4 linked regions of the Oryctolagus cuniculus genome follow. The protein of the gene in region 4 interacts with the protein of the main gene of each other region in a pairwise test. Links are inferred from orthologs where the notes say so. Each region holds a gene or a part of one and is shown on either strand. Other genes may lie near its edges.

What was found.
Region 1: the proteins of SNCA (region 4) and TOR1A interact in a two-hybrid assay, tested with the Homo sapiens proteins (2 studies listed by BioGRID, with this or other methods). The link is inferred for Oryctolagus cuniculus from reciprocal best matches to the Homo sapiens genes SNCA and TOR1A.
Region 2: the proteins of SNCA (region 4) and ARFGAP1 interact in binary tests that used the Homo sapiens proteins (3 or more experiments, as listed by UniProt). The link is inferred for Oryctolagus cuniculus from reciprocal best matches to the Homo sapiens genes SNCA and ARFGAP1.
Region 3: the proteins of SNCA (region 4) and PDE4DIP interact in a two-hybrid assay, tested with the Homo sapiens proteins (2 studies listed by BioGRID and IntAct). The link is inferred for Oryctolagus cuniculus from reciprocal best matches to the Homo sapiens genes SNCA and PDE4DIP.

Annotation. Positions count from the first base shown.
Region 1 is NC_091432.1:232,661,613-232,668,528, reverse strand, and holds the start of TOR1A (torsin-1A), read left to right. Parts: upstream 1-2,311; 5' UTR 2,312-2,402; coding exon 2,403-2,583; intron 2,584-2,887; coding exon 2,888-3,153; intron 3,154-4,748; coding exon 4,749-4,924; intron 4,925-5,005; coding exon 5,006-5,133; intron 5,134-6,916. UniProt on the Homo sapiens protein: Protein with chaperone functions important for the control of protein folding, processing, stability and localization as well as for the reduction of misfolded protein aggregates.
Region 2 is NC_091442.1:568,897-575,917, reverse strand, and holds the start of ARFGAP1 (ADP-ribosylation factor GTPase-activating protein 1), read left to right. Parts: upstream 1-2,416; 5' UTR 2,417-2,571; intron 2,572-5,535; 5' UTR 5,536-5,539; coding exon 5,540-5,599; intron 5,600-5,856; coding exon 5,857-5,966; intron 5,967-6,067; coding exon 6,068-6,239; intron 6,240-6,565; coding exon 6,566-6,666; intron 6,667-7,021. UniProt on the Homo sapiens protein: GTPase-activating protein (GAP) for the ADP ribosylation factor 1 (ARF1). Involved in membrane trafficking and /or vesicle transport.
Region 3 is NC_091438.1:50,610,571-50,617,687, forward strand, and holds the start of PDE4DIP (myomegalin), read left to right. Parts: upstream 1-2,512; 5' UTR 2,513-2,969; coding exon 2,970-4,094; intron 4,095-7,117. UniProt on the Homo sapiens protein: Functions as an anchor sequestering components of the cAMP-dependent pathway to Golgi and/or centrosomes.
Region 4 is NC_091439.1:75,752,305-75,759,304, reverse strand, and holds the start of SNCA (alpha-synuclein), read right to left. Parts: upstream 4,480-7,000; 5' UTR 3,752-4,479; exon of another isoform or gene 2,995-3,751; intron 2,961-2,994; exon of another isoform or gene 2,563-2,960; intron 2,273-2,562; 5' UTR 2,248-2,272; coding exon 2,127-2,247; intron 1-2,126. UniProt on the Homo sapiens protein: Neuronal protein that plays several roles in synaptic activity such as regulation of synaptic vesicle trafficking and subsequent neurotransmitter release.

The DNA of each region.
Region 1 (6,916 bases), on a different chromosome or scaffold from region 4:
ACTCGTGTCCTCCACTTCCAGACACTGGGGAGGGACGCGTCCACGGCTCAGAGCAGCAGCAGCTGGGACGACCTCAGCGGACGCCTGCATTTTCTGACTTCTGCAAAATGGCCTCTCTCTCTGCAAGGGAGAACTCCCTGTCCTCCCCCGTGTGGGGCTGGATTATTAAATACAGAGCGAGCGCGGCCTCGTGGCCTTCAGCAACACCAGGTGACGCTCTCACAGCCCGAGGCCTGGGGGGCTCAGATGTCAAACTGAGCTCCTGAGAAACGGGTTCTCCTTCCGTTCTTGTTTTTTGAGGTGATTTATTTGAAAGAATTAATTACAGAGAAGGAGAGCCAGAGGCAGACCGCGAGCGAGATCGTCCCAGCTGAAGTTCATCCTCCAAACGGCGGCAGCGGCAGGGCCTGGCCCGGAGCTTCCCCGGGTCTCGCACGTGGCTGCAGGGCCCCGGCACTCGGGCCTTTATCTGCTGCTTTCCCAGGGGCATTTAGCATCGAGGTGGGACTCAAACCCTCTACACCACAGTGCCGGGCCCCTCCGCTGACTCAAAAGACGGAGACGCTCCGACCGGCTGGCCGAGGTGTTTCCCTGGACGGGCCAGGGAAGCAGTGGGCTTGAGACTTGTGGACTGGCCGAGTGCAGGCCCCGTGGCCGTGGAGGCTTGGTGCACGCCGACTGGCCGAGTGCAGGCCCTGTGGCCGTGGAGGCTTGGTGCACGCCGGACTGGCCGCGTGCAAGCCCCGTGGCCGTGGAGGCTTGGTGCACATGGGCCAGATCGGACCCTTGCTCACTGCTCCTAATCCCTCGAGTCTCGGTTTTCTCATCGATAAAATGGAGAGGGGCCAGGCGTTGTGGGGCACTTGCGACGTGAGCACCAGAGTGCCAGTGCATAGCCCAGCTGCCGCGCCTGGGACACAGCTTCATGCCAGCTCCCCTAGGAAGACAGCAGAAGATGGCCCGTGTGCGTGGGCCCCTGCTCCCATGAGAGAGACAAGGACGGAGTTGCCGGCTCCCGGCCTTGGCCTGGACCAACCCCAGCTGCTGCATGTGTTTGGGGAGTAAACTTGGGGCTGAAAGGTCTCTTAACTGTCAGATAAAATGAAAATAAATTTTAAAAATTTAAATAAATGAATAAAATGGTTAAAAAACCAACAATAGGGGCTGGTGCTGTGTCGTAGTAGGCTAAGCCTTTGCCTGTGGTGCTGGCATCCCATATGGGCCCCAGTCTTTTTCCCTGCTGCTCCACTTCCGATCCAGCTCTCTGCTGTGGCCTGGGAAAGCAGTGGAGGATGGCCCAAGTCCTTGGGGCCCTGCACCCACATGGGAGACCTGGAAGAAGCTCCTGGCTCCTGGCTTTGGACTGGCTCAGCTGCGGCCATCTGGGGAGTGAACCAGCAGATGGAAGACCTCTCTGTCTCTCCCTCTTACTCTGCCTCTCAAGTAAATAAAAAATCTTTTAAAAGCGCACACCTTGTTTAAAATATGCATACATTGGTTATACATCAAAGGAACACAAGAGACCAGCTGAGACTTCCGTGAGCAAAACCAGAACAATCCAAGGAACAATACAGTAGTGGGTTACAACCCAGAGTGAAATCAGCGGCCGAGGGCCCACACTGCTGTAATAATTGAGTGAATAAGTACGTGGAGAGGCCGGCCGTGGGGAGCATGGGTAGTTCTGCGCCGCTGTTGTCCCGAGGAGTGGGGCAGCTTCCTGCCCCTGGGGTGGACAGCTGCAGCCTCATGGCCTCCGTCACGTGGGCAGCGCTGCCCTGGGTATGGCAGGTGAAGACACGGCTCCACTCCCGTGACCCCGCTCCCCAGCCTGGTCAGAGCGGCACCGTGCCTGTTTCAACAGAGGGAGAACTTGCAACAGCTTTGACCAGTGCTGTCCAGTACCCAAGGCCGTCGAAATAAGGGAAGTCTAAGAAACCATCAGGGGTAACCGCAGATGTGGCAACGAGACGGGGAGGGGGTGGGTTCTGGGGCAGAGAAAGTAGAGATCGGAACCAACTGATAGCCAAATACTACTTACAGCATACCAGTGTGAAGATTTTAGTAACAGGGGAAACTGTGGGGGTGCGGCTTATGGGGTCTCTCCGTACTGTCTCGTCAATTTTTCTGTAAGTCCAAAACTGTCCTTAAAAAAAAAAAAAAAAAAAAACAACACTGCGTATCCTTATAAAAATACAAAAACCAAACCGAGGTCTCCTGGGAGCCCACTTGCCGGAAGCAGGAAGCCGCGCTGCCCCTAAAAAAGATGGCGGACACCGGAGACAGCTATAGCCCGCCCCGAACAAAGATGGCGGCGGCGGCGGGGTGGAACCGGAAGAGCGTGTCTGGCGGTAGCGCCGGTCGGTGGTCAGCGCAGGAAGGCGCGGGGAGGCGCGGGTCTGGGCATGAAGCTGGGCCGGGCCGCGCTGGGCCTGCTGCTGCTGGCGCCGTCGGTGGTGCGGGCGGTGGAGCCCATCAGCCTGGGTCTGGCCCTGGCCGGCGTCCTCACCGGCTACATCTCCTACCCGCGCCTCTACTGCCTGTTCACCGAGTGCTGCGGCCAGAAGCGGAGCCTCAACCGGGAGGGTAGGCGGGGGTGGGGGCTGGCGGCGGCGGGGCTCCGGCCGCAGGACGGGCGGAGGCCTGGGGGAGCCGAGCTGCAGGGTGGGCGGCTCCGCGGGCGTTCTCCGAAGAGCTTGTCTCCGTCGTGGTCGGAGCCAGGGCACCAGGGACTGGGTCCTCTCCCTGCCGGGCGCTGGGCCTGGAGGAACCGAGCAGGGGCCCTGGGGCCGCGGGGCCAGGACGTCCCCAGCAGGCGGGACTCGGGCGCTGACCCCTCTGGCCAGAGGCTGGAGGATCCCCCGCTCCTCACCGGCCCTGTCTTTGCCAGCGCTGCAGCGGGACCTGGACGACAAGCTGTTCGGGCAGCATCTGGCCAAGAAGGTCATCCTGAACGCCGTGTCCGGCTTCCTGAGCAACCCCAAGCCCAAGAAGCCGCTCACCCTCTCCCTGCACGGCTGGACCGGCACTGGCAAGAACCTGGTCAGCAAGATCATCGCGGAGAACATTTACGAGGGCGGCCTGAGCAGCGACTACGTGCACCTGTTCGTGGCCACGCTGCACTTCCCCCACGCCTCCAATGTCACCCTGTACAAGGCAAGCGCCCCGCTCCCGGCTGCGGCCGCTTCGTCGTGGGCAGGGGTGCGGGAGTCCCTGCGGAGGGGAGTGAGCCCCAGCCTGGCGCCCGCCTCAGTTTCCCTTTGAAAGGTGTGGCAGCTGCAGAGGGGTTGAGGGTGCGGCTCAGTGGGCGCGGTGCCTGGAGGGATCCCAGGTCGTGGGCACGGTGCCTGGAGGGATCCCAGGTCGTGGGCGCGGTGCCTGGAGGGGATCCCAGGTCTCATTCATGTTGTCCAGGAGGAAGCAGGCACGTGTTTGTTTAGCCTAACTGTTGCAAACTGGGCTCCCAGGGCAGGTCACTGATTAACAGCCCCTGCTCTCCCACCTGGAGAGGCTCACAGGTGCGTGGGAGGCTTCGCACCCATCACCCTGCCAGGCACCCGAACCTCAAGCATAGGCTCACTGTGATCTTTCAGGGGCCGGGCAGCAGACCCCAGTGTGGGCAGGATGGGGGCGCTCACTGGTGTGAACTCATTCTGCCTGCGTGAGCGTGTCCCCACCCCCACCCTGACCCGGGCACGCTGGGCTCTCGGTGCTAAAGCCAGGAGCATTCGGCGCTGGTCCTTGTGGTCTGGTTGCGGCTGCACCTGGGCGACTCCGGGCAGGTGTCCCGGCCTGCCTGTGCCACTCAAGTGTCCCCCAGCAGCGGGGCCGCAGCAGTAACCGCCGTGGCGGGCTCCAGGGGGGCCGTGTGGGCGCCGCTGGGACCAGCTCTGTGCTCTGTGCCCGCGGTGAGCGGGCGCCGTGTGTCTCCTGTCGCTCACGGAGTCCAGGTGGCAGAGGCGACATCCTGGGCTGTGGGGGGCCGAGCAGATCTGAGGGAGCCCCCGCTCCAGCGGTGACTGCCCCCTTGGCCAGGGCAGGCGGCTGCCGCCCGCCTCAGCTTCCAGGCGGCACTGTCACCGGAGCCACAGAGGCCCCGTCAAAACTGAAAGGCGGCAAGACTGACGCCGTAACTTCCAGAATCTTCCCCAGACGACAGACAGCGGATGGCCCTGTTGTCACGGGGCGGGGGGCACGGGGGGCACCGCCCACTCGTTTAGAACCAGAGCTCAGGTCTTAGATGTCCTCAAGGGGTCCTGTCCTACAGGAGGCCCCAAGTGTGTGCTCATGGAACACTGTCAGGCACGGGGTCCAGGGCCCAGGCGCGTCGCTGCCCACGGAGCCGCCGCCGGCCCTCCCGCCCTCCCCCTCTCCAGGCCGCTCTGCGCTTGCTCTCCGCCTCCTTCCCCAGTGCCCGGGATACGCGTGGGCGATGCTCACAGCACGGACTCCCCCACCCAAGCGTGGGGCTCGGGAAGCTGGCAGGGTCGGTTCAGAGCCGGCTCCGCCACACTGATCTTACAGTCTCGGGCAAGGTGACTAAGCGCTTGTTGGCCTCAGTTTCTTCATCTGTCCAATGGGTATGGTGGCGCCCGCTGCACGGGGTGTTCAGGGAACCACAGGGCTCACATGTGCAGTGCTCTGAGCAGAGCAGCGGGCACACGGCACCAGGAAGCGCAGGTGGTGGGCGCTGGCCCGAGGGCCCGAGGCTTCGCCAAGAAGCCGGCACTGACCTCTGCCCCGCACCCCAGGATCAGTTACAGCAGTGGATCCGAGGCAACGTGAGTGCCTGTGCCAGGTCCATCTTCATATTCGATGAGATGGACAAGATGCACGCCGGCCTCATCGACGCCATCAAGCCTTTCCTGGACTACTACGACGTGGTGGACGAGGTCTCCTATCAGAAGGCCATCTTCATCTTCCTCAGGTGAGGGCTGGGCCGGGGCTGGCTGGGCCGGTTCTGGGCCCCCGGGAGCGGAGCCGTGACCCCGCTGGGCGTGTCTTGCAGCAATGCGGGCGCGGAAAGGATCACAGACGTGGCTTTAGACTTCTGGAGGCGTGGAAGGCAGAGGGAGGACATCAGGCTGAAGGACATGGAGCACGCCTTGTCCGTGTCCGTCTTCAACAACAAGAACAGTAAGTGGCCCCTCCCGTCCACCGCCCCGCAGCCCTGGTCCTGTGCGCCCGGCACTGCCCCGGCCCCTTCCAGCCCGCGAGGCACAGGCCCGGAAGCGGCGTCGCGCTGGGAACCTGCAGAGCACTGGCCCATTTCTGCAGCTGCCGGTTCTTGTAGAAGCCGAGCAGATGGTGACCAAGGATGGCTGTCGGGGAGGTGACCGCTGGGCCCCCGCTGTCTCAGCACTGCCCACGTGTCCGTTTCGTCCCATCTCCTTTCAGTAACCTTGGGGGGAGAAACTGCGGCTGTCCCTAGTGTGCCGGTGAGGATGAGGCTCGGGCAGACGGGCGCCCTGTCCCGTGTCCCCGGTGCCAGAACCGGAGCTTGTGTTGCTCGCTGCTTCTCTCATGAATGTCATCCGTACCTTTGGCCTTGAACCCCGGGAGGTGGAGAGCCGGCAGGACGGGTGCCGACTCACAGACTAAATCCTGCACGTCCCCAATGGGGGCCGGCGGCCCAGAGCCTGCGCCGTGCCAGCTTGCAAAGCCACTCTGGGGGACCCGCCTGGGAATCAGGCAGACCGGCTGGGCTGCTGCTCCGGTCACAGGCAGGTGCCAGATACCCCCAGGCTTACTGAGCACCTGCTAGGTTCACACAGCCAGTGGGGAGAAAGACATTCCCACCCTCACCCAGCTTCCCCTTTTTTATTATTATTATTATTTAAGATTTATTTGAGAGGCAGAGAAAGAGAGAGAGAGGTTTTCCATCCGCTGGTTCACTCCCCAGATGGCTGCAACAGCCAGAGCTGGGCTGATCCGAAGCCAGGAGCTTCCTCCAGGTCTCCCACGCGGGTGCAGGGGCCCAAGCACCTGGGCCATCCTCCACTGCTTTCCCAGGCCACAGCATAGAGCTGGATCGGTAGTGGAGCAGCTGGGACTTGAACCAGCGCCCGTAAGGGATGCTGGCACTGCAGGCAGCGGCTTTACCCGCTACACCACAGCACCGGCCCCCAGTTTACATCTTAATGTCAGTAAAGCCTGTCAGATGGTGGGAGATAACATGTGTGCCCCCCCCCCCACAGGTGTATGTATGTTCTCTTCTTGCCCCCAGCGGGGAGAAGAAACTAAGGAAGGATCTGGGGGTGCTGGGACACGCATAAGCTGGATCTGAGTGGACAGCTCCCTGGGAGGGTGGGAGGGAGTGGGCCGACGAGGCCCTGCAGTGGGCACAGGCCAGGAGTGGCAGCTGCTCCGGGAGGAAGTGGAGGTGAGCAGGGCTGAGAGCGGGGGCGCAGGTTACGGAGGCCTTGGGTTTGATTCCAGGTGGGAGAGGCGCTGAGGCTTCCGAGCAGGTGGTGGCTCGGCTGGCGCTGGGCTGTGCCGGCTGCCGGGGGCGCAGACCGAAGGCAGCAGGGGCCAGGAGACCGGCGCGGTAGCTGTCGGGTGGGGCGAGGTGCTGGGATTCTGGGGTCTTGGAGGTCGAAGTGGGGACTCCCTCGGGGCTGTGTGGGGGAGGAGTGTGGCTTCAGCGGCTGGAAAGGGACACTGGTGCGGGGCAGGTCAGCCGCGTGAGGGTGTGTAGGGCCTCCAGGCAGGGGCGCGAGCAGGAGGTTGGCCGCTGTGGTTTGTCGGGGAGGCTGCGCGGTGGGGGTGCCCCTTTGGGCATCAGCAGTAGGTGCTTGTGCAGCCATGGGCTGAGACCCCAGGTGTTACTTTTTAAAAGATTTCATGTCTTTATTTGAAAGGGTTACAGAGAGGGAGGGTGAGATAGAGGTCTTCCATCCGCTGGTTCACTCCTCAGATG
Region 2 (7,021 bases), on a different chromosome or scaffold from region 4:
GGCCCAGGCAGCACTCTCTGGTCCCTTCAACAAAACCCACAACCTTGCACCCCGACACCCACACCCTCAGCATCTCGCCTTCTTTGCCTCCAGCCCGAGGTCCCGGGCACTGGGTCCCATCTGAGTCTGCGAGCAGGAAGCGCTCTCAACTCCCCGCTTCTGGGAGCAGACCCCGGCTACACTGTAACGGCTGTGCTCCCGGCGTTACACTTGCCACCAGCCTCACCTGGAGAGGGCGGGAGCAAACCGGGCTCCTGCTCCAGCGAGCTCTCCCTTCCCCGGGGGCCCTGGGCAGGCGGCATGAACCTTGCTCAAAGTGAGGAGGCAAAGGTGGGAACTGAGCCCCACACCACCCACCTCACAAACTGCTGCAGCGCCCCCCAAAGGGAGTCCACTCGGTGACACACAGCAAGCCAGCTACGGCCTGGGCTGGGGAGAGGAAGCAGGGCTTTGTTACAAAGTGCAGAGCGGGGAGCCGGGACCTAGCTCCTGCCTCCCCCTGAAGCCGGTCCCCCGCAGAGAGGCCTCTGGGGAATTCTGAGGGCAGAGTGGGCTCCGGTTGGTCGGGCGGGCGTCCATGCAGCTGGGAGGTATCTTTTGCCCCAAACCTCGAGTTCCTGCGAGGGAAGCCCCTCGAGCACAGGCCAACCAGGATGTCACCCGTAGGGGACATGAATGACCTCACGGGTCCAGCGATCGGGGACCTGTGGGGCCGGCCGCACCCCTCCCTCCACTCGCCGAGCTCACTTCTGTGAGTGGCTGGGGGAGACTAGACCAGGGTCTGGGCCCGGGCGCCAGGACAGCTGCGCAGAGGCAGCAGGGAGACCTGGTGAGCTGAGCTGAGCTGCCCGGCCAAGCCTCTCCCCGCCCACGCTAGGGTTAGGGAACTTGCTGCCGAGGCTGCTGGGGCTTGGTTTTGTGGCGACCTGGAGGCACAGCAGGGCTGCGGCAGGGGCGCGCGTGGTGCACAGCCCCACAGACAGGGGCCCGTCCACATGATGGCCGCTCCCCAGAGGGGACGTCGTGAGCCCCCGCCGCCCCTTCAGGGCAAGCAGGTCCAGGTGGGCACAGAGCCCGGGGGCGGGGCTGCCTCCGCACCCTCAGGGCTCTGCACCGGACAGGGGCCTGAGGGAGGGAGTGGGTCCTTTGGACGAAGGACCCGCTGTCCCGTGCTGCTCCTTTGGAGGCACCACCGGCCTGGCATGGGGGAGGGGAGCCCCATTCCTCCTCTGACCAGGTAGGCCTGGATCCCCAGACCACACGGTCCCCTCCCGTCGGCCCCCTGTCACGGAACTTCCCTCTTTCATGGTCATCACAGGAGAGGTCAGGGACCCAGGCTGCCCAGGCAGGCAGCCCTGGGCCACTCTGTGGGACATATGATGCTGACCGTGGCCTCCTGCTGGGAGCCTCGCACCTGGCCCACCTGTTGGCGCGGTCTGATGACCCCCAGGACACGGGAGGATGGCTACTTCCAATGGAGCCCCAGGGGTCTTGGCCACTGCCTGGAGGATGCTGAGGGCCTGCCTGGTCCACAGCCCCCTAAACACCTGTGGGAAACGCCCTGGGGCGGAGATGGGCGTGGTGCTTGTCCAGGTGAGCTTACAGTCCCCAGGGAGACCCAGGGCTCCTGTGGGTGGGGCTCTGCCAGCTGACAGGAATAGAAAGTCGCCTCAAGGGGCCGGTGCCGAGGCGTAGCCGGTAAAGCCGACGCCTGCAACGCTGGCACCCGTGTGGGCATCAGTGCCGGTCCTGGCCGCTCCACTTCCAACCCAGCTCCCTGCTATGACCCGGGAAAGCAGCACACGATGCCCCAGGTGCTTGGGCCCTGCACCCACGTGGGAGACTGGGAGAAGCTCCGGGCTCCCGGCTCCAGCCTGGCCCAGCCCCTGTCATCTGGGGAGTGAAGCAGTGCAGGGAAGGTGATCTCTCCGGACCTCCGCCCTTTAAATCAGTACACCTGTCAGGTGAAAGGCGCCACCAGGAAGGTGCGCCCACAGAGCTCCATCCCGGGCGACAGCCACGCTGAGACCGGGTGGACACCAGCGGGCAGGCCACGCTCACGGCCAAGGTCATTGGCACTTGCCAGCCCTGAGTTTAACTCCTGCTGTAGGCGACGACGCCACCACACAGTCAAAAACAAAGCAAAAGCCATGGACAGCGAGAGGTCACCAAGCCCACAGCTTCCACCGCTCACCTGCCTGGGCCTGGAACCTGAGTGGCGTCCACTCCGCCCCACGGACCCGCGCAGGGCACCCGGGGACCCACCCGCTCTCCTCCTCCGGAGACCCCGACCCGCGGGGACACCCCGCTCACGGTGCCCGGGACCCGCCCCCGCGCAGCCCCGACCCTCCTCCCGCCCGGACCCCGGCGACCACAGGGAAGGTGCGTCTCCATGGCGACCGGCTGGGGTGGCGGCCGGAAGTCCCGCCCCGCCGCGCTGACAGCCTCCCGTGAGGCCTTGCAAAGCGCAACGTTGCCGGAAGCTGGTGGCCGCGGGGGGCGATCCGCGCGCGGTGCGGGTGGCGGAGCAAGCCTGTCCTGGACCCCAGCCCCGGCCGGCCTCTTCTCCAGGTGAGCGCGCGGCCCAGTCCCTGGCGCGGGCTCCCGGCCCTGTCGGGCGACGTCGCTGTCGGGCGCGCGGGGCCTTCCCGGGCGGACCCCCGCACCCCTTCCCTCGCGAGCCTGAGTCCGCCCGCGGTTCCAGGGGCGCCGCCCGCCGCGGCTCTGCGTGGGCCCGGTGCCGGGCGGGGCGCAGGCTCCGAGGCCGCGGTCCGGCCGCAGGCGCCCGCGGAGTGGCAGCCGCCTTGCCGGCCCCCGCGTTGGTGCGGACGCTGGTGTTGCGGGAGAGAGGGCGGGGGCGGGCTCCTCACGCGGCCTTTCGCGTGCGTGGGCTTGCGGGCCAGGGCGGCGGGACGACCCTTCCCGAGCGGCTGGCGCGGTGCGGGGCTTCGGGGCGGCGGGGGCCGGGCTCGGGCGCGGGTCCTCGCCGCGTGCGGTGTTCCGAGCGAGACGGGCACCCGCGTTCTGCCCCGCAGGAGGGGACATCGGGGTCCTTGGACGCTCCGGAGAGTGGGCGGGGGCGGCGCGGAGGGCGCGGGGGCTGCGGACGTCGGCGTGGGCCCCGGGGGCCTCCCTGAGCCGAGCGGGGCCTCGGCCGTGCGCGCGTCCCCGCCGCAGCTCCCTGCGTTCCTGCGCAGGGCCGTTTGCACGTCGGTAACATCAGCCTGAGGATCGGCCGCTGTGGCGATTGCCCCAGCCCTGGCCTAGGACTTCCCGACCCCTCGCCCAGGCGCGCGCCCTCAAATGCGCCCCGGGCCCCCGTGCGGCCACTGTGACCGCAGACCTGGCGAGCGGTGCCAGCCCAGGCCCGGCAGGCAGGAGGGTGCGGGCTCCGCGCAGGAGGGTGCCCGGCGCAAGCTTGGTTTTCCCCCTTGGACCCCAGAATCCGGTGTCTGTTTCCTAACTTCACATGGCGTCAAGCTGGGTGCTGGTGCAGGGGTCAGGGGTCAGGCCGTCCTGAGCCAGAATGAAGTGGGCGGGTCCATCGTGGTTCTGTCTAAGCTGCGTCTGGACAGGAAGTGGCACCTGCGGGCTGTCTGCTCTCTGGGTGCCGGTGTCCTCGCAGCCGGCGTTGCCGTGTGACTAGGAGGGGACACGGCAGGGGCCACACGGAGTGTGTGTGTGCAGGGGGCTGAGGCCCAGGAGTGTGCGGGACCAGGCCGGGCTCACCTCACCAGGGGTGCGCGGGACCAGGCCGGGCTCACCTCACCAGGGGTGCGCGGGACCAGGCCGGGCTCACCTCACCACGGGTGCGCGGGACCAGGCCGGGCTCACCTCACCAGGGGTGCGCGGGACCAGGCCGGGCTCACCTCACCACGGGTGCGCGGGACCAGGCCGGGCTCACCTCACCATGGGTGCGCGGGACCAGGCCGGGCTCACCTCACCAGGGGTGCGCGGGACCAGGCCGGGCTCACCTCACCACGGGTGCGCGGGACCAGGCCGGGCTCACCTCACCACGGGTGCGCGGGACCAGGCCGGGCTCACCTCACCAGGGGTGCGCGGGACCAGGCCGGGCTCACCTCACCAGGGGTGCGCGGGACCAGGCCGGGCTCACCTCACCACGGGTGCGCGGGACCAGGCCGGGCTCACCTCACCACGGGTGCGCGGGACCAGGCCGGGCTCACCTCACCAGGGGTGCGCGGGACCAGGCCGGGCTCACCTCACCAGGGGTGCGCGGGACCAGGCCGGGCTCACCTCACCAGGGGTGCGCGGGACCAGGCCGGGCTCACCTCACCAGGGGTGCGCGGGACCAGGCCGGGCTCACCTCACCACGGGTGCGCGGGACCAGGCCGGGCTCACCTCACCACGGGTGCGCGGGACCAGGCCGGGCTCACCTCACCACGGGTGCGCGGGACCAGGCCGGGCTCACCTCACCACGGGTGCGCGGGACCAGGCCGGGCTCACCTCACCAGGGGTGCGCGGGACCAGGCCGGGCTCACCTCACCAGGGGTGCGCGGGACCAGGCCGGGCTCACCTCACCATGGGTGCGCGGGACCAGGCCGGGCTCACCTCACCAGGGGTGCGCGGGACCAGGCCGGGCTCACCTCACCATGGGTGCGCGGGACCAGGCCGGGCTCACCTCACCATGGGTGCGCGGGACCAGGCCGGGCTCACCTCACCATGGGTGCGCGGGACCAGGCCGGGCTCACCTCACCATGGGTGCGCGGGACCAGGCCGGGCTCACCTCACCAGGGGTGCGCGGGACCAGGCCGGGCTCACCTCACCAGGGGTGCGCGGGACCAGGCCGGGCTCACCTCACCAGGGGTGCGCGGGACCAGGCCGGGCTCACCTCACCAGGGGTGTGCGGGACCAGGCCGGGCTCACCTCACCACGGGTGCGCGGGACCAGGCCGGGCTCACCTCACCAGGGGTGCGCGGGACCAGGCCGGGCTCACCTCACCAGGGGTGCGCGGGACCAGGGCTCCACCCCTGCCCCCAGCTGGAAGCTTGGATTGTGTGAGTTTTCTGGTTGCGAGTCAATCGGCCACGCGCCGAAGCCAGTGCATCCTTAGGAAATGAGAAGTTTTTCTGCTGGACCTGGGCCTGGCTGCCACTGTCCCTGCTGGTGGTCACGGGGGTCCTGCTGCGCCCAGAGGGAGCTCAGGGTGGCCCCTCGAGGACCTGCCCCAGACCCCCAGGCTGGCCTTTCCACACCGAAGGTCAGGGCATGCGGGAGCGGGGGGCTGTGCCCTTGCCAGGGGTCAGCGCGTGCTGGGGCGGGGGCTCCCCCGCTGACAAGACAGAGCTGTTTGTGAACCTCTCGCAGTCGTGGCGGGCCGTGGGGTTGAAGCAGAGGGACACGAGGACGCACCTGGCTCGGCCTGGCCTCGCTGCACGTGCACGTGGACGCCGGGTGGCCTGGGCAGCTCGCGGTGGGCCAGAGGCCTCGTGAAGGGGCAGGTGTGAAGTGTCGTGAGCCGATGGCTCACTTAGGGACCGCGTGTGGGTCTGTCACGGGGCCGTTCTGTCTCCACAGCGTCATGGCCAGCCCGAGGACCCGGAAAGTTCTGAAGGAGGTCAGGGTGCGGGACGAGAACAATGTGAGTCGGGGCCGCCTGCGGCTGCCGTGGGCCACGGCCCTCCTGTCGCCCGGGGCCGTCTGCCTGGCCTTCCTGCTGGACGCTTTCCCCTGGGGCTGCTCGCCCCTCGTGCCGGCTTCCTGGCAGGATCAGCGGCCACCCCGCCCAGGCTTGCCTGCCGCCTGGGCCTCCCTCCTCCCCCGGGGTCCTTGTGTGTGGCGTCGGGCTCTCTGGCCTGCCCCGAGCCCCCGGCGAGCCGTGTGTGGCCCCCTCTGCAGGTCTGTTTTGAGTGTGGCGCTTTCAACCCGCAGTGGGTCAGTGTGACCTACGGCATCTGGATCTGCCTAGAGTGCTCGGGGAGACACCGCGGGCTGGGCGTGCACCTCAGGTCAGTGCCCGCCTGCACCCGTGTCTGGGGGGGCCGGGGCGGGGGTCGCCCCGCACGCCCCCCGGTTGGTAATGAGGCCAGTGCCCACCTCCGGCTTCCAGCTTCGTGCGCTCGGTCACGATGGACAAGTGGAAGGACCTGGAGCTGGAGAAGATGAAGGTCGGGGGCAACGCCAAGTTCCGGGAGTTCCTGGAGTCCCAGGCCGACTACGACCCCTGCTGGTCCCTGCAGGACAAGTACGAGAGCAGGGCCGCGGCCCTCTTCAGGGACAAGGCAAGTTCTCACGCGCCGGCCGTGGGGCTGGCCAGGGCAGTGGGCGGCCCGGGGCCGCGATTGCAGGGGCGACGAGGAACTGCGGCGTGCGGTGCCGCCCCTCCTCTCGGGTCAGGACGTCGGAGGAGCGGTGGAGCCGTGGCGTAGTTCACGTGGGGTCCCTGTACTCTGGAGCTGGAGCTGCACCGTTCACCAAGCACGGCCAGACTGAGGCGGCCACGGCCCACGCTGGCCCACGCTGGGCGACGCTGGGCGACGCTGGGGCCTGGGGGAGGGTGGGGCGCGTGGAGGCGATGCACACCCTGACCACCCGTGCTCCCCGTCAGGTGGCCACCCTGGCTGAAGGCAGAGCGTGGTCTCTGGAGTCGTCACCTGCCCAGAACTGGACCCCACCCCAGCCCAGGACGTCGTTGGCCACTGCCCACCGGTAGCTACGCCCCTAATCTTCCTGGCCCGGCCCTGGGCGCAGCTCAGGATCCCCGCGTGGCTGTGGTGCCCCCAAAATGCCCAAAGCAGGACGAGCCCTTAGCAAGCAGGGGCGCGAAATAAGTGGGGTGAGAGCAGTGTCTCCCCCTGCCCAGCGTGGGCGCCGCTCTCCCTCCCAGACAGACACTGCCCCCCTGCAGCCCGGGGAGCAGGGCTGTGTGTCGCCAGCGCCCTGTCCCTCTGAGTGTCGCCGTCCTCCGGGGCGGCCCTGTGACCGCTGAGCTGACCCCAGAGTGGCTGTATCCCACGTCCCGCTGCGGGGAGCGCCCTGTGTGGGGGCTGCAGTGGGCGCTGGG
Region 3 (7,117 bases), on a different chromosome or scaffold from region 4:
TTATTGCATATCTCCTTTAGACCTTTGTTTATATAAGTTGTCCACTTATTATTATATAAATATTTACCATTCCTATTATGGAAATTCCCATTTTAGGTTCAAATCTTACTCACTTAGATCCGATATTAGTGATAGATTGGCATAACCTTTAATCTGTTCTCTAAATTAAGATTTAACAGTAATACTTGAATACACAGTCATTGACAAAAATTGAAATGATATGCAATATTCGGAATAAAAAGACTACACCCTCATTTAACACAACCCTGTTCCTCACCCCTCAAAGTAGCCAGTGTTAACTAACTGCAAAATCTTAACCTAGAAAATACTAATAAGGATTATGAAGTGCTGAAATTATCACATAATTTTTCTTCTGAGTTTTATATTTTTGTTTTGTTATCTACACACTAGTAACTTTTTAGTTGCAATTACATTATTATATGACACTAAATGCTCATGTTAGGACTAGTTCTATGATAGCTTACTGTCTACTTTGTGATAAAGTTTTTAAATATTTTCTCTAGGATAGGATAGTGTGCTGTTTAAATTTTCTTCGATTGCTGGGTGGGAATATTATTTCTACCTGCTGTTAGAAGTATATCTATATCTGTATATCTTTTATCATATTCATCTTTACTTATTTTCTTCAAGATATATCACCTTTTCACCATTTGTACTGATTTGTACTTCTATATAGTTATTTATATATTATCATTGAAGTTTGAAGACTATCACATGCAAAATCTTATTAAAGTAATAGAGCATAATACAAAGTATTATTTCAGGGCTTGCTGCTAAATAATTGAGAAATGTTCATTAGCATTTTCCACACGGGAAAATAGCCACTTGCATTGACAAAGATGGGACCCTGATTAACATTTTAATTAGCACTTTTATGGGCCATTCGTCCTGGTTGCTCTTCAGGATAACAGTTATAACAGGGTAGAGCAGGCCCATCTAGGTGTCCATCAGCCAGAGTGTGTTCAGAAACCCCTTGCCTTTCTAGAGATCACTACAGATGCCAAAGATCTTTGCTTAAAAAAGAAGTGAAGCAACTTTGAAACGCACATATCTAGAGGCAAGCAAAAAAGCAGCTGTAGCTTTACTTAGAATTACATTTTACAGTCGTTTTGGGGTTAACATATGTATTTTTAGGTGAAATTACAGATAGAGAATTCTGTTAGCCTTCTAAGCCCAAAGTTCTGAGGACTGTCCTTTATTCTCTCACAATGGAGCGGTAGGATTTTGTTTTGGTCATTAGAACAATATATGCAGAGCCCCATGATGTTCTAAACTGCTTTAAAATGTTCAGCTATTAAAACAGCAACAATATTAGCTATTTCCTAATGAGCTAAACATTATTAAAACATTTCCCTGAAACCACCTCGTTTAATCCTCAGAAAGGCAGCTAGGTGTCTGATAAGCTTAGGAGTTTGGGCTCAGACGTATGGCCAGTGTCCTGCTCTGGGGGACTCCAGGTACTGCTGAGGTTACTGTTCCTCCTGGCTGGTGTCTGTCTGCGTGCTCCTTCAGCCAGGGAAGACTTCCTCATTGCCAATGGCTGGTGGCACCTGCGCATTCCACCTCGGCGGAACTCCAGCTTCTGTCCTCTCGGTGTGCATTCCGAGTTCCAGAGCCGAGGTGGGGGGCGGCGGGGGCGCTGAGGGTTGTTCAGTCCAGCCCTAACTCTGAAGACAGCAGCACTCCCGGGACTTTCGGCTCAGGCTTTTGTGTGAACCTTCGTCTACCCTCTCCGTCTCCTAAACAAACACCGAGCCCGAAGGTGATGTTGATCTCGTCTCAGGTGGCTACGTTCTTGAAAATGCCATTTTCTCTTCAGAATCCTGGTTGACCAGATGCATTCACAGGGTCTTTGATGGACTCTCTCAGGAACTGCTTTGTGCTCTGATTTTATCTAACGGCAAAGCACTCGGGTTTTAACAGCCTTCCCCTCTCCCGCCCAACATCTGGGGGAGAAACGTTTGTCCTCGCTTTTTCGGCTCTCCCAACGGTCGAGCGAACGGTTAAGCCTCCTAAAACCCGCCCCACCAGCCCTCCGCGGTCATCAACCCTTCCCCCACCGCCTCAGCCGCCCCGAGGCCTTTCGATGCCGGCCCGGGGCCGGGTCTGGAGAGGAGAAGGGGCTGCGGGCTGGAGGCGGCGGCGCGCAGCGGTACCTAGTGGCGCCGCCGGGCTGCTTCATCCAGGGTACGTGGCACTGCCCGGGGACAGGGGGGGAGGGGATTTGGCAGGAACCTCGGACACCCTTCAGAGGCGGCATCCTTGAGGAGATCGGTGCGCCTTTTTTTGGCAGGAACTTAACAGATGAAAGTGGCCTTTCCCAGGACGGCGTCCGTCCGTTCCCACAGCGAGCCAGCTCTGCGTTCCACCGCGAGCGTCGGCCGCCGGGTCTGGGGCAAAGTGTGTGTGTGTGGGGGGGGGGGGGAGGGGGGAGACTCGCCATCCCGCATGCGCAAAGCGGGGAGCCGCCCGCCCGGACTACAGCTCCCAGAGGAACCTCCCGGAGGCCGCAGGCGCCGAGCCGTCGTCGCCATCTTGAAATCTGATCTTCCATCGCCCAGGCTTTGCGTCAGCGGCGGGCGGCCGCTAGGGTGCCGGGAACCGGGCCGGCTCGCTGAAAGGGGACGACGCCTGGGACGCGGCCGCTGGCGGGCGAGACAGCTGTGGGAGACGCGGAGGGGTCCGAGCGCGGCCTGCGCCGCTGTCACTCAGCATCCCCCTGAGGCGTTTCCACGCCCGCCCCCTGCCCGAGGGGCGGGGCTGAGCACGCTGGTACCCAGAGCCGGCGCGCGGGTGGCGGAGGCGCGCCCCTACGGAGCCCGCACCTCAGGGCTGTGCCATGCCGGCGGGAGACCACCGAGGCGGGAGGCGGAGCGCAGCCCGGGGCTGGTGAGCGACCCCTCAGCCGCCGTCGTCGCCTGGAAGCTAGGTACCCGCTAGGAGCGAAGATGAAAGAGATTTGCAGGATCTGTGCCCGGGAGCTGTGTGGAAACCAGCGGCGCTGGATCTTCCACACGGCGTCCAAGCTCAACCTCCAGGTTTTGCTGTCGCACGTCCTGGGCAAGGATGTTTCCCGCGATGGCAAGGCCGAGTTTGCTTGCAGCAAGTGTGCGTTCATGCTTGATCGGATTTATAGGTTCGACACCGTTATTGCCCGGATCGAAGCCCTTTCCATCGAGCGCTTGCAGAAGCTGTTGCTGGAGAAGGATCGCCTCAAGTTCTGCATCGCCAGCATGTATCGGAAGAATAACGACGACTGCGGCGCCGAGATCAAGGCGGGGAACGGCACGGTTGACATTTCCGGCTTGCCCGATGTGAGATACTCCGCTCTGCTCCAGGAAGACTTTGCCTATTCGGGCTTTGAGTGCTGGGTGGAAAGTGAGGATCAGATCCACGAGCCGCACAGCTGCCATGCCTCGGAAGGCCCTGGCAACCGACCCAGGAGATGCCGTGGCTGTGCAGCTTTGCGCGTTGCCGACTCTGACTATGAGGCCATTTGTAAAGTGCCTCGAAAGGTGGCCAGGAGTATCTCCTGTGGCCCTTCCAGCCGCTGGTCTACCAGCATCTGCACTGAAGAACCAGCGCTGTCAGAGGTCGGGCCCCCGGACTTGGCGGGCACAAAGGTGCCCCCGGATGGGGAAAGCATGGAGGAAGGGACGCCGGGGTCCTCTGTGGAGTCTTTGGATGCAAGTGTCCAACCTAGTCCTCCTCAACACAAGGACGAGGAGGCGGAGAGGAGTGCGAAGGAGCTTGCGAAGTGTGACTGCTGTGCAGACGAACAGGCTGCACAGCATGTGTGTAGCCACAAGCTGGAGCTAGCGCTGAGCACGATTAAAGGGCTTGATTATAAGCCCATCCGGAGTCCCCGAGGGAGCAAGCTTCCTGTCCCAATCAGATCCAGCCCACCTGGAGCCAAGCCTGGCCATATCATGACAGATGGAGTTAGTTCCGGTTTCCTTAACCGGTCTTTGAAACCCTTTTACAAGACACCTGTGGGGTATCCCTTGGAGATTTCAGACCTGCAGGAGCTGTGGGATGATCTCTGTGAAGAGTATTTGCCCTTACGGGTCCAGGTATAAAATGGCTACCCAGTGCCTTTCTGATTGCAGCTAGCTGGCCTCACGCTTCGCATGATCTCTGTCTAGAATGGAGATTAATGCTATTGTATGCTTGGGAAAACTGAACATGGAGTCCACTTTTGCTGCACCTTTTGTGTATGTCCCAGTTAGTAAATGTGAATCACACTCAGATAATTTGCTTTTCCCAGTTCTTTTGTAACACTATCTGTTGGCCTTTTCATTTATTATCAGAATTGCATACCCTTGTTTTATACAAGAACATGAAGATTCCCCATTGATTTAGCCTATGAAAGGATGACATTCAGTCTGACTTCTGGCATTAGAACTTCTCTCTTACCTCCTTTCTTCTCCCTGTCCCCCTACCTTTTTCTGTTTTGATTTTAAAGTTATAGATATTTCTCTCTTTGGCTTTCTGTAAGGGAGTTAGTTCTCCCTGGAGCAGTAAACCTTTCATCCCTCACATGACTGAAAATGATTAGAGTTTAGGGTAAGCATTAGGGGAAAACCTATTGATTAGTCAATAAAGTATTATGATATTTGGGCTGTATTATATTTAATTAATGATACTTGTTCATGAAAGAGCCTTTGGAATTCTGGTATGACCACTCAAAATGTTAAGGCAGAAACTGCACAGCTAGTCTGTCTACTGAGCCCTACTAGAAGATAGTTGATATTAAGAAATAATGTCAATTACTTGATTATAGTTTCATCCATTATACTCTAACATTTGTCTGTCACTAGAGAATGGCAGATGATTTTAATCTGAGTTACTTATATTCAGTTGATTTCACACCAGCCTTTTCAATTCAGCTGTAAACAGAGATCAGCCAGATGCTACTTTGTTTCTATAGCAATAGTAAATGCTAGGATCAGTTAACTTCAGGAAGCATTCTGGCAGGTTCCACTTGATAGACATTTTTCAGTGATAGCATTACAAAGGTAAGGAATCAAGAAGGCATTTAGAATGCCAACATCATTCTATTTTGATAACAGATAAAATTGTTCTTACATGAAATTTTTGAAAAGTGGTATATAAAGTTTATGTTACAATAAGAATTAAAGCAGAAAACGAGAAAGGTTTTTAAATTTACACAGAATTATCAGAAACAGTATACAATGGTACTTCAAAAAGTTTGTGGAAAATAGCATTAAAAGCATGAATTTGAGTGCAAAAAATTTTGAAATGTCTGCATAGTTTTTTCATAATACTCATTTTCTATATATCATAGCATTTTTTTGTACTGAAGTAAACTCATTTTTAATTCCACTTTCCTGTGAACTTTTTGAAGTGCCCTTGTGTATCAATATGAAAATATTAGGAGAAAGTAAAAAACAATTAATAGGTTTTCATTTGTAGACAGTGTTAAGTATTGTATATCTAATATTGTGTTCTTTTCTTTTACTTATTTTTCTTAAGCCTCATGGCTAAGTTTGGGCCTTACAGTATTTCTGTGACCCGACATAAATGTTAACAAATCAAATATCATGTTCTTGTATTAGGATCTAAAAGTAAACTGAGCAGGGAGGGAGGGAAATAAGTTGTTTTCCCCTCACAGATATAGCCAGTATTATAGAACATTATGGGCATTTTCTTCCATATTTAATTAAAAATACTATTTTTGAGTGCCTGGAATTTTGGAATTGGTAAAACTTTTAAAGATCATCTCATGTTATCACTCAGTGTAGAGATATGGAAAGCTAATGGTTTCAGTATCTTAGTCCTTGCAGAGTCAAAAATTGCTGTTTTCGGCCAAGACCTTTAAATTCTGTACAGTAAAGTACAGTGCTTCCAGTATAATGGCTTTTAAGCCAGGAGCTCTCTTTATATACCTCAGGGATTCCAGGAGGATTCTCAAGAGGTTTTTGTCAAGGAAATTGTCATCCAAGTGAGCACAAGTGGGCACTGTGTCCTGAGGTTGGGCCCTGTCCTTCACTAAGGTTGGACAGTAGAGCTCTGACATAGTGTATGCTCTTTCTGCTCTCACCTGGCTTCTGTCCTCTTTGTGGAATAATAAAACAGGAGGAGGAGGGAGAAATAGTATTCAGCTCCAAGAAATGTGGTGTTTCAGTCCTGTGCGGTTTCCTGTAATAATTAGTATGTGAGGTAGAAAATAGATAAATTGGGTTCAGTGTTTTTGTAAATAAGGTATGCATTTTATTTTGGATACCTGATCTGTTCTTTAAGTCTGGTTGACTTTTAAGCTCCTTAAAGGCTGCTGTGCTTTCAGGCAAAACCAGAGCTAAGTGGGACAAAGGCAGACTGGTTTTTGTCTGTTTCTCTGCACAAATATTGAAAGGATAGAAATAAGTAAATTCCTTTCAGCTCTCTTTTTAGTTTGTAGAGAGAAGAAAACATGAAAGAAAAATTCTTTAGTTAAATTCTACTTACATAGGAAGAAAACCTATTATGCTAGAGAGTGAGATGGTTCTGTTAGGTCCTTTTGAGTCCTTTGTTTAATCCTCCACTTACCCCATTGTACGCACTATTAAATATCAACATCAGAATCCTTCCTGATTGCCTCTTATTTTTCTTTATTTTTTTCCCCTCTCCTTCCTTCCTCTCCTCTCCTCTCCTCTCCTCTCCTCTCCTCTCCTCTCCTCTCCTCTCCTCCCCTCCCCTCCCCTCCCCTCTCCTCCCCTCCCCTCCCCTCCCCTCCCCTCCCCTCCCTTCCCCTCCCCTTTCCTCTCTATATTAATAATAGCAGCCATGAAGTTCTCCTACTTTCTCATTTTCTGCTATTATACAAAATTATTTATCATTGATAGTTTCCTTCTTTACTGTTTGGCTTTGGTTCAGAAAAGCTATAATAAGGAGATGTATGGTCTTTTAGTGAACAGCAATTTAGAGAGCCCTGGCCTGTGTGCTTTTCCCTTCGTTCTAAATTCAAAGAGTAGATCCTTGCTTCAATCCTTGTGATGCTAAGAGCTGTTGTTTGTGGCAATGGTAAATTTATCCCACTCATAGCTTAGCTGTGCTAAGTAGATCAAGCCCTTTGGAAGGTGTTGACATTAGATGC
Region 4 (7,000 bases):
AATGGTTTAACAAATATGTGACACATAAACAAGTTAAAATTGTATACAACTGGGCCAGCGCTGAGTCATAGTAAGTAAACACATGGCCTGGGACACCAACATACTGTATGGGCACCAGTTAATCTCGACTGCTCCACTTCAGATCCAGCTCCCTGTTTATGGTCAGGGAAAAGCAGCAGAAGATGGTCCAAATATTTGGGCCCTGTCACCCACATGGGAAACCAAGATGAAGCTCCTGACATCTTGACTTCGATCTGACCCAGCCCTGGCAATTGCAACCATGTGGGAATTGAACCAGCAGATGGACTCACTCTCTCTCTCTCTCTCTCTCTCTCTCTCTCTCTCTCTCCATATATATATATACACATATATATAAAATTCTGATTTTCAAATTTTTTGAAAAACTGTATATAATCATCTCAAAGAAAATAACAGAACTGATCTCTGAGAAATAAAATCATTTCACTTGCCCAAACTCATAGTCAACACGAAAGCAAATAAGTGTTGCAGATGATAAAACTTATTCATTACCAGGAAAGAGCAAAGTATTAAATTAATATTTAGTAGTTTCTGAATTTACAACAAATGACTAGAGGGAATGTTGACTCCCTAAAGAAAAATCTTTAAACACACAAATTATAGTCAAAGGAGCTTGTACTTACAGAAGTTGGAAAACTGAGGACCAACAGAAAAATACTGATCATCTTTGTCATTGTTTCAGTATTACCAATTCTAACTAAAATGATACAATTCATCCTTTACAAAAAAACTTGCACTTAACTTCCCAATTTTTCCCTCTTGTATCAGCCTATTTCAATGATATTTCTGAAAACATATTTGCAGAAAAAAAGTAATTTAACTGAAGACTTACGGGAAGATCAAGCCAACATAAAAAGAGTCTGAAGAACAAGGAAAAAGTACTCTGCTGTAAACTGTAAAGAGAAGCAGTCATAAAAAGCATCTCAAGTGTAAGTTTTCTCCTGTGATCTACATCTGAGAGTAGCTCAGCATCTTTCACTCCACAGACACAGGCACAGCAAGTGTATCGCCCATGCCATGCAAATGCTCACCCTCCACCTGCCTGCTCAGGCTATGGCTCCTGCTGCTGTAGTCGCCACCAGAGAAGGCAGCAGAGCTCAGAGGAGCAGTGGAGAAAGAAGAGAGGAACAGGCAATGTGTGTGTACATAATGAGTCTTCAAGAAGTTCTCCCAAAAATGCCTACTGGGAAAAACTTATGCATGCATTTCAAAAATGTTTGACACTGAAATAAACTTCTCTTTTCATTCAATTTTCCATGATCCTTTGTAGTGCCTTCCATGTGGATATGTACCTATGTGTCCATTTGTTCTCCAAAAAATTTAAAGTAATTTGCAAAATAACACCCAGTTTAACACAGTTCAAGATACAGATAAGAGGGTCAAGCTCTTGGCGGATACTCCCAGGTGGGAATTTAGAACCAAGTAGAGTGATAGGCAACAACTGCATGATTATTTTCTGCATGTCATTTGAGAGATGAACTACATAAATATTTCTGAAGATAGCTGCAGCACCTTTAAGCACTTCCTTCAGCCTTTGGACCGAGTGTCCACAGGAATCAAGGCATCACAAGGAGTAATCACAACACAGAATAACCTCTTCTTTCCATTTTGGAGTTACAGTCACAGAGCAGGGCTGTATCAAAGTCTTATTTTATAATTGCCAGACATTAAAATTAGTAAATATTATTCATCATGATAAAAGAGATCAATAGTCGATGAATTATTTTGATCATTAGAAATGTTTTAATTTTTTAAAAAAGGACTAAGTTTTCCAAACAGCCCTCTGAATACAGCCACTCATTCATTGGGGAAAAAAAGGATAAAAAAGTTCTAAGTGTTCTAAGTGTTACTGCAACATTTAAAAATCTGGGGAAACAAAAGATTAGCCACATTTTCTCACGATTAGCTCAAACATACACCTTCACATTCACCTACCTACCCAGTCCTCCGACTCAATCCATCCTTTTGACAAGTGATGATGCAAGAACGAATCACGTGAGAAATGTCAGCATTCTTGTATCCATCATTGTAACTAATCAATCAGGGACCAGTATCAGAATGACATGGGAGGTGGGGGGGCTACCTACCTACATAGAGAACACCCTCTTTTGTCTTCCCTGCAGCCTCTGCCACACCCTGTTTGGTTTTCTCAGCGGCAGCCACAACTCCCTCCTTGGCCTTTGAAAGCCCTTTCATGAACACATCCATGGCTAATGAATTCCTTTACACCACACTGGAAAACACAAAATACATGCTGAGTGAGAACTTTTTGGTAAAAGCAAGCAAAATTCAAACCATCCAAGCTAAAAACAAAACAGAAAACGAAAACACTAAAAATCTGTAGAAATCCCCAAAAGCGTGAAAACTCTTTGACGTGACCCCTCATTTCAACCACCTGGACAAAGCAGTCCGCCCCTCACTCCCACCCCAGCCCACTCCCCTTAAGCTTTAGCTTTAGGAATTTCTCCTCCCCCATCCATCTTGACTCATGCTGACCAGGGAGAGCATCTGAGCTGTTCTTACTGCATCTCAGAAGTGGAGTGGCAGGAACAGATGCGCCCTTCTTCCAACTTCCCAGGGTCCAAAGGGTGACCCTCTAAGTCAGCAGGAGGTTTAGAGGAAAGACCTCAGGAAAAGGACGGGAGCTGGGGGCCATGGCCAGGCGCATCCTTAAAATGAATCCCAGAAGAGGGGTAACAGGTTGATCCCAGGGGAGGGAAGAGCACTACTCACTCTGCATGTGGTTAAACCGCAAGACAACAAGGAAGGAGCCAGGGGACGCTCCTCTGAATCCACGGTGCCCTCCACCTCCGCCCTCTGCTATCTATCCGGAGCAGGCGCTGGTCTTCACCCGCTGGCAGCGTCCACACCCCTGCCAGCCACACTAAAGGGCGTTCTCAGCCGCACCGCACCCCCAAGCACACCTAGCGCCTGCACCTGTTAACCCCTTCCTACCTGTTGCCTTGTCCCCTCTGCACTTTATTTAGAAATTGGCCAAAGCTGTTTCCTCTCTTCTCGGGAAACAGCGAAAAAGCGGCCTACGGGGTGGCGGTTACCGTAAGAGAAGAAAAGTTGGATGCTCTTGCTCCACCCAGCACCCGGCGCTTCCGCGGGGAAAACGCACCCCGGAGAAGCCGCTGATTTCGCAGCCTTTGGGGAGGCCGGGGAGAGCTGGGTCAACATCCACTCCTGACGTGCACGCGAGGGACCTGCACGCCCCACCAAGAGCCTGGACACCGCGGTCCTGGGGTGCACCCTACCACCACCCCGCGTCCGCGGCGGCTCCTCTGCCTTCCCGGGTTTCTCCACGATTTCCAAAGCTGCCCGTTCAGAGCCACAGGTACTCACCCGAGAACTCTGCTTCTCCGGGACTCCGAGTCCTCCCCTCCCCCCCTTTCCCTTTAATTTAAACAAGTGCCAAATATTATTTAAACGGGCCAAGGGAGGGGACGGGAGCGCACAGGAAGGGCGGAGGCGGCGCCAAGAGACGGATGATCCCCAGAGGAGGCTGCCGTCAGCGCAAGCCAGCGACGGGAGGCGGGGGACGTGGGAGGCACACGCGCGAACCTCGCGTCCAATTGCCACTCCCCGTCCCCCGCACGGAGGATGGGGGAGGAAGAAAGCGAGGGTCGCGAGGGAAGGCGGGCGGAGGGCTGGAGGTAGGCGCAGGGCGGGGCTGCGTCCCGGGGCTGCCCAGAGGCCAAGCACACACCTCGCTGCGCGTCAGCACACACTCCCGCTCCGCCGTCGTCCCGCTCGCGGGCCCCTGGTCGCGGCCGTCCTCCTCCTCGCCGTCCTCCTCCACCTCCTCCTCCGGCGCCCGGATCTCCTCGACTCACCGCCCCCACGGCTGATTTGTCAGCGCCTCTCCCCGCCCCTCTCCCGCGCTCGCTGCGCTCCCGGCGCGTGCTCTCGGCTCTCGTGCTCCGTGGGGAGGGGGTGCGGGGCAGGTGGCCCCGGCCACTGCAGCCGGCCGCCTCGGCCTGGGAGGCGTAAAGGCGCGGGGCCCGGTGCTTCACCGCAGGCTCAGAGGCACCGGGAACGTGCGGACCTCCGGAGCGCTTTGGCTCGGGCTGAGGTCTCTTCTTTCCACCCGCTCCCTCGCTGTCTCCTTTCCTCTGGTTTCTCGGGGACCTCGCTCCCAGCAGAGCCTAACCCTGGGGCTTGGGGACCGAGGAATGGGCGTCGCAGCCGAGCCTGGCTCCGGGAGCGGACGGAGGAGACACGGGGCGCGGCGGGGGCGCCTGCACCTGCCCCGCGTCAGCCCGCTTCCTGACACTTAGCACACGGCCGAGGGGCGCCTCGTGCAGGGTCGCTTTTGTTCGAACATCCTCGAGGTTTTCTGTTCTCGCTTAACCCCGGGTGAGCCCGAAAGGGTCCCGCGGGCAGGCTGGGGACCACCGAGCAACAGATACAGGTTCGGGAGGCACGAGGGGACTCGTCAAATCGTCTCCCTACCAGGCTCTCACCATTTTCTTTTCCACCAATCAGCGGCTGCCAGAAGCTGATTTTTTTTTTTTCCCCATCTGTGAAGCAGGCAATAAATATTCCCCAGCCGTCGAAAGCGAGCGGCCCCAAGGCTTTTCGCTCTGGAAACGCGGCTTCGTTTCCAGACCCCAGGACAAGGTCTAGGAGGCAAATCCAACGTGGTGCACGTTGCCCTCCGAGCTGACACCCCCTCCCCTTACACGGCACACGCGAGAGAGCCCCCGCCGATTTCTGCGTCGTTTAACGCATTTTCACCCTTGTCAGTGCTGGGTGGAAAACAGCTGTTCCTAGATCACACCAGAAGGGAGAACCAGGCTCCCCCCCTCCAGCAGAAGGCCTTGCTTTCCTGGCCCGGTTCTTGGAGATGGGCTTAGCACGGAGGGGAGAACAAGGCTCTGCTGCCTCGTTTGTTCCTTGGTCTGTTTCTGTTTTTCTGCCGCTTGCACGCATCTGGGTTCTGAAATTTGAGTCAGATGTGCTTTCCACCTATAAAGCACAACTTGAAACCACAAGGGATGGAAGCTAACGACTACATAGAAAGGATAGAGATAGCTAAATATATAGATTGTTAGATAAAAGATGGATAGATGACAGGTGACAACCAATACATAAGAAGGGGAGGGGATGGTGGTAGAAAGAAATGATACAGATAGATTCCGAAGAAAAAAAAAATGTGAAAATTAGATCACAAGTATTTATCACTTAATAGATCCTCACACTCCTTGCCTCCCTTTTGAAAAACAGCCTTTGGACGATACAGCCGCTCATATTTTGTTTTCCTGGGATCAGAGGAAGAAAGCAGACACGGGAGCTAGTTTGCCATCTGATTTTAAGGCCGTGAGCAAGTTATGTCCTCCTGTTTACAGCTTTTCCTCCTGTAAATGAGGAGGTGAACTAGATGATCCCTCTCTTTTCAGTTTTTTATTATGGAAAATTTTCAGACATGTACAGAAGTAGAATCAAAGACTCTCACATGAGTATCACCCAACTTTCACAATGTTTCAATGCCTGCCTAATCATATCTAACTATAAACACTCCACTTTATCGCTACCAATCTTCATTTTTAAGTAAATTCCAAGTTTTATATGCATATTTTATCTGTAAACATTTCAACATGGATTCACAAAATGTAAATTATGAAACAATAATCACCATAGCACTTGAGAATTTTTATTCTTGGTTATAATTTACATAGAGTAAATGCTCAGCTCTTAAGTGTCGCTATGTGTCCATTTTGAAAAATCTGCACTATTTGGAAAACCCAGAACATTTTCATCACCCCACAAAGGTCCCATGGACCCTTCTTAGGTGTGTACATTCTAACACTTCATCAAAATGGAATCATAAAGTATGAACTTTATTTCCTATTTGACTTCTCTCTTCTAGCATAGTATTTCTGAGACTCATTCATGCTGTTACATGAATCACTGGTTTGATTTTTTAATGCTTTTCATTACTGCTAATAATGCATTTTTCCACTGTGACCCACCACGACCACATGTCTCAACAGATATAAATAATTATGACAGTTATTTTTTAAAGATGTGTTTATTTAGTTGAAAGGCAGAGGTACACAGAGAGAAGAAGAGGCAGAGAGACAGAGAGGTCTTCCATCCCTTGGTTCACTCCCCAATTGGCCGCAACGGCTGGAGCTGCGCCGATCTGAAGCCAGGGGCCTCTTCTGGGTTTCCCACACTGGTGCAGGGGCCCAAGGACTTGGGCCATCTTCTGCTTTCCCAGGCCATAGCAGAGAGCTGGATGGGAAGTGGAGCAGCCAGGACTAGAACTGGTGCCCACATGGAATGCCGGCGCTTTAGGTCAGGGCGTTAACCCACCACACCACAGTGCTGGCCCCTGACAGTTATTTAATATGTGATTTTATATGACATATTTGTGGTTTACCAGGGACCTGGTCCTTTAAGATGGAGGGGTGAATGAAATGACAGTTATTTTAGGTGTCATGAGCAAATCAGTGATTTATTTTGGGGATGATTATGCATCTTATAACATATCATGATCCCATACTTTTATATAGTACCTATGTTTGGCAAAGGACTAAAATCCCGTGTCACTTAATCATAACAATTGGATAAGTTAAATTTTATATAACTTTTATAGGCAGAGAATCTGCTGGGGAGATAGACTGAAGTTAATTAGCTTTATGGTGGTAGAGCTGAGATGATCTAGCAGAGACTGTACCAGAAGGCACAATCATCTGAACTGCAGCTCATCCTTGAAGCCTCATAGATTGAGTGTGTACCATGGGGAAGAAGTGGTGGGACCCAGCTCTGTTAGAAATAACCTTTGAGTTTGGATATCACAATGGAAATCAAGGAAAATGTACACTATTATAAAGCAATATATTCAGATTTGCAACTTCACCTTCTCTGTGCCAGTACCCCACCACTCCCGTGTGAGATACGGGTATCCCAAATGATAGAGTGACCTAATCCTGATGTGAACATTTTCTTA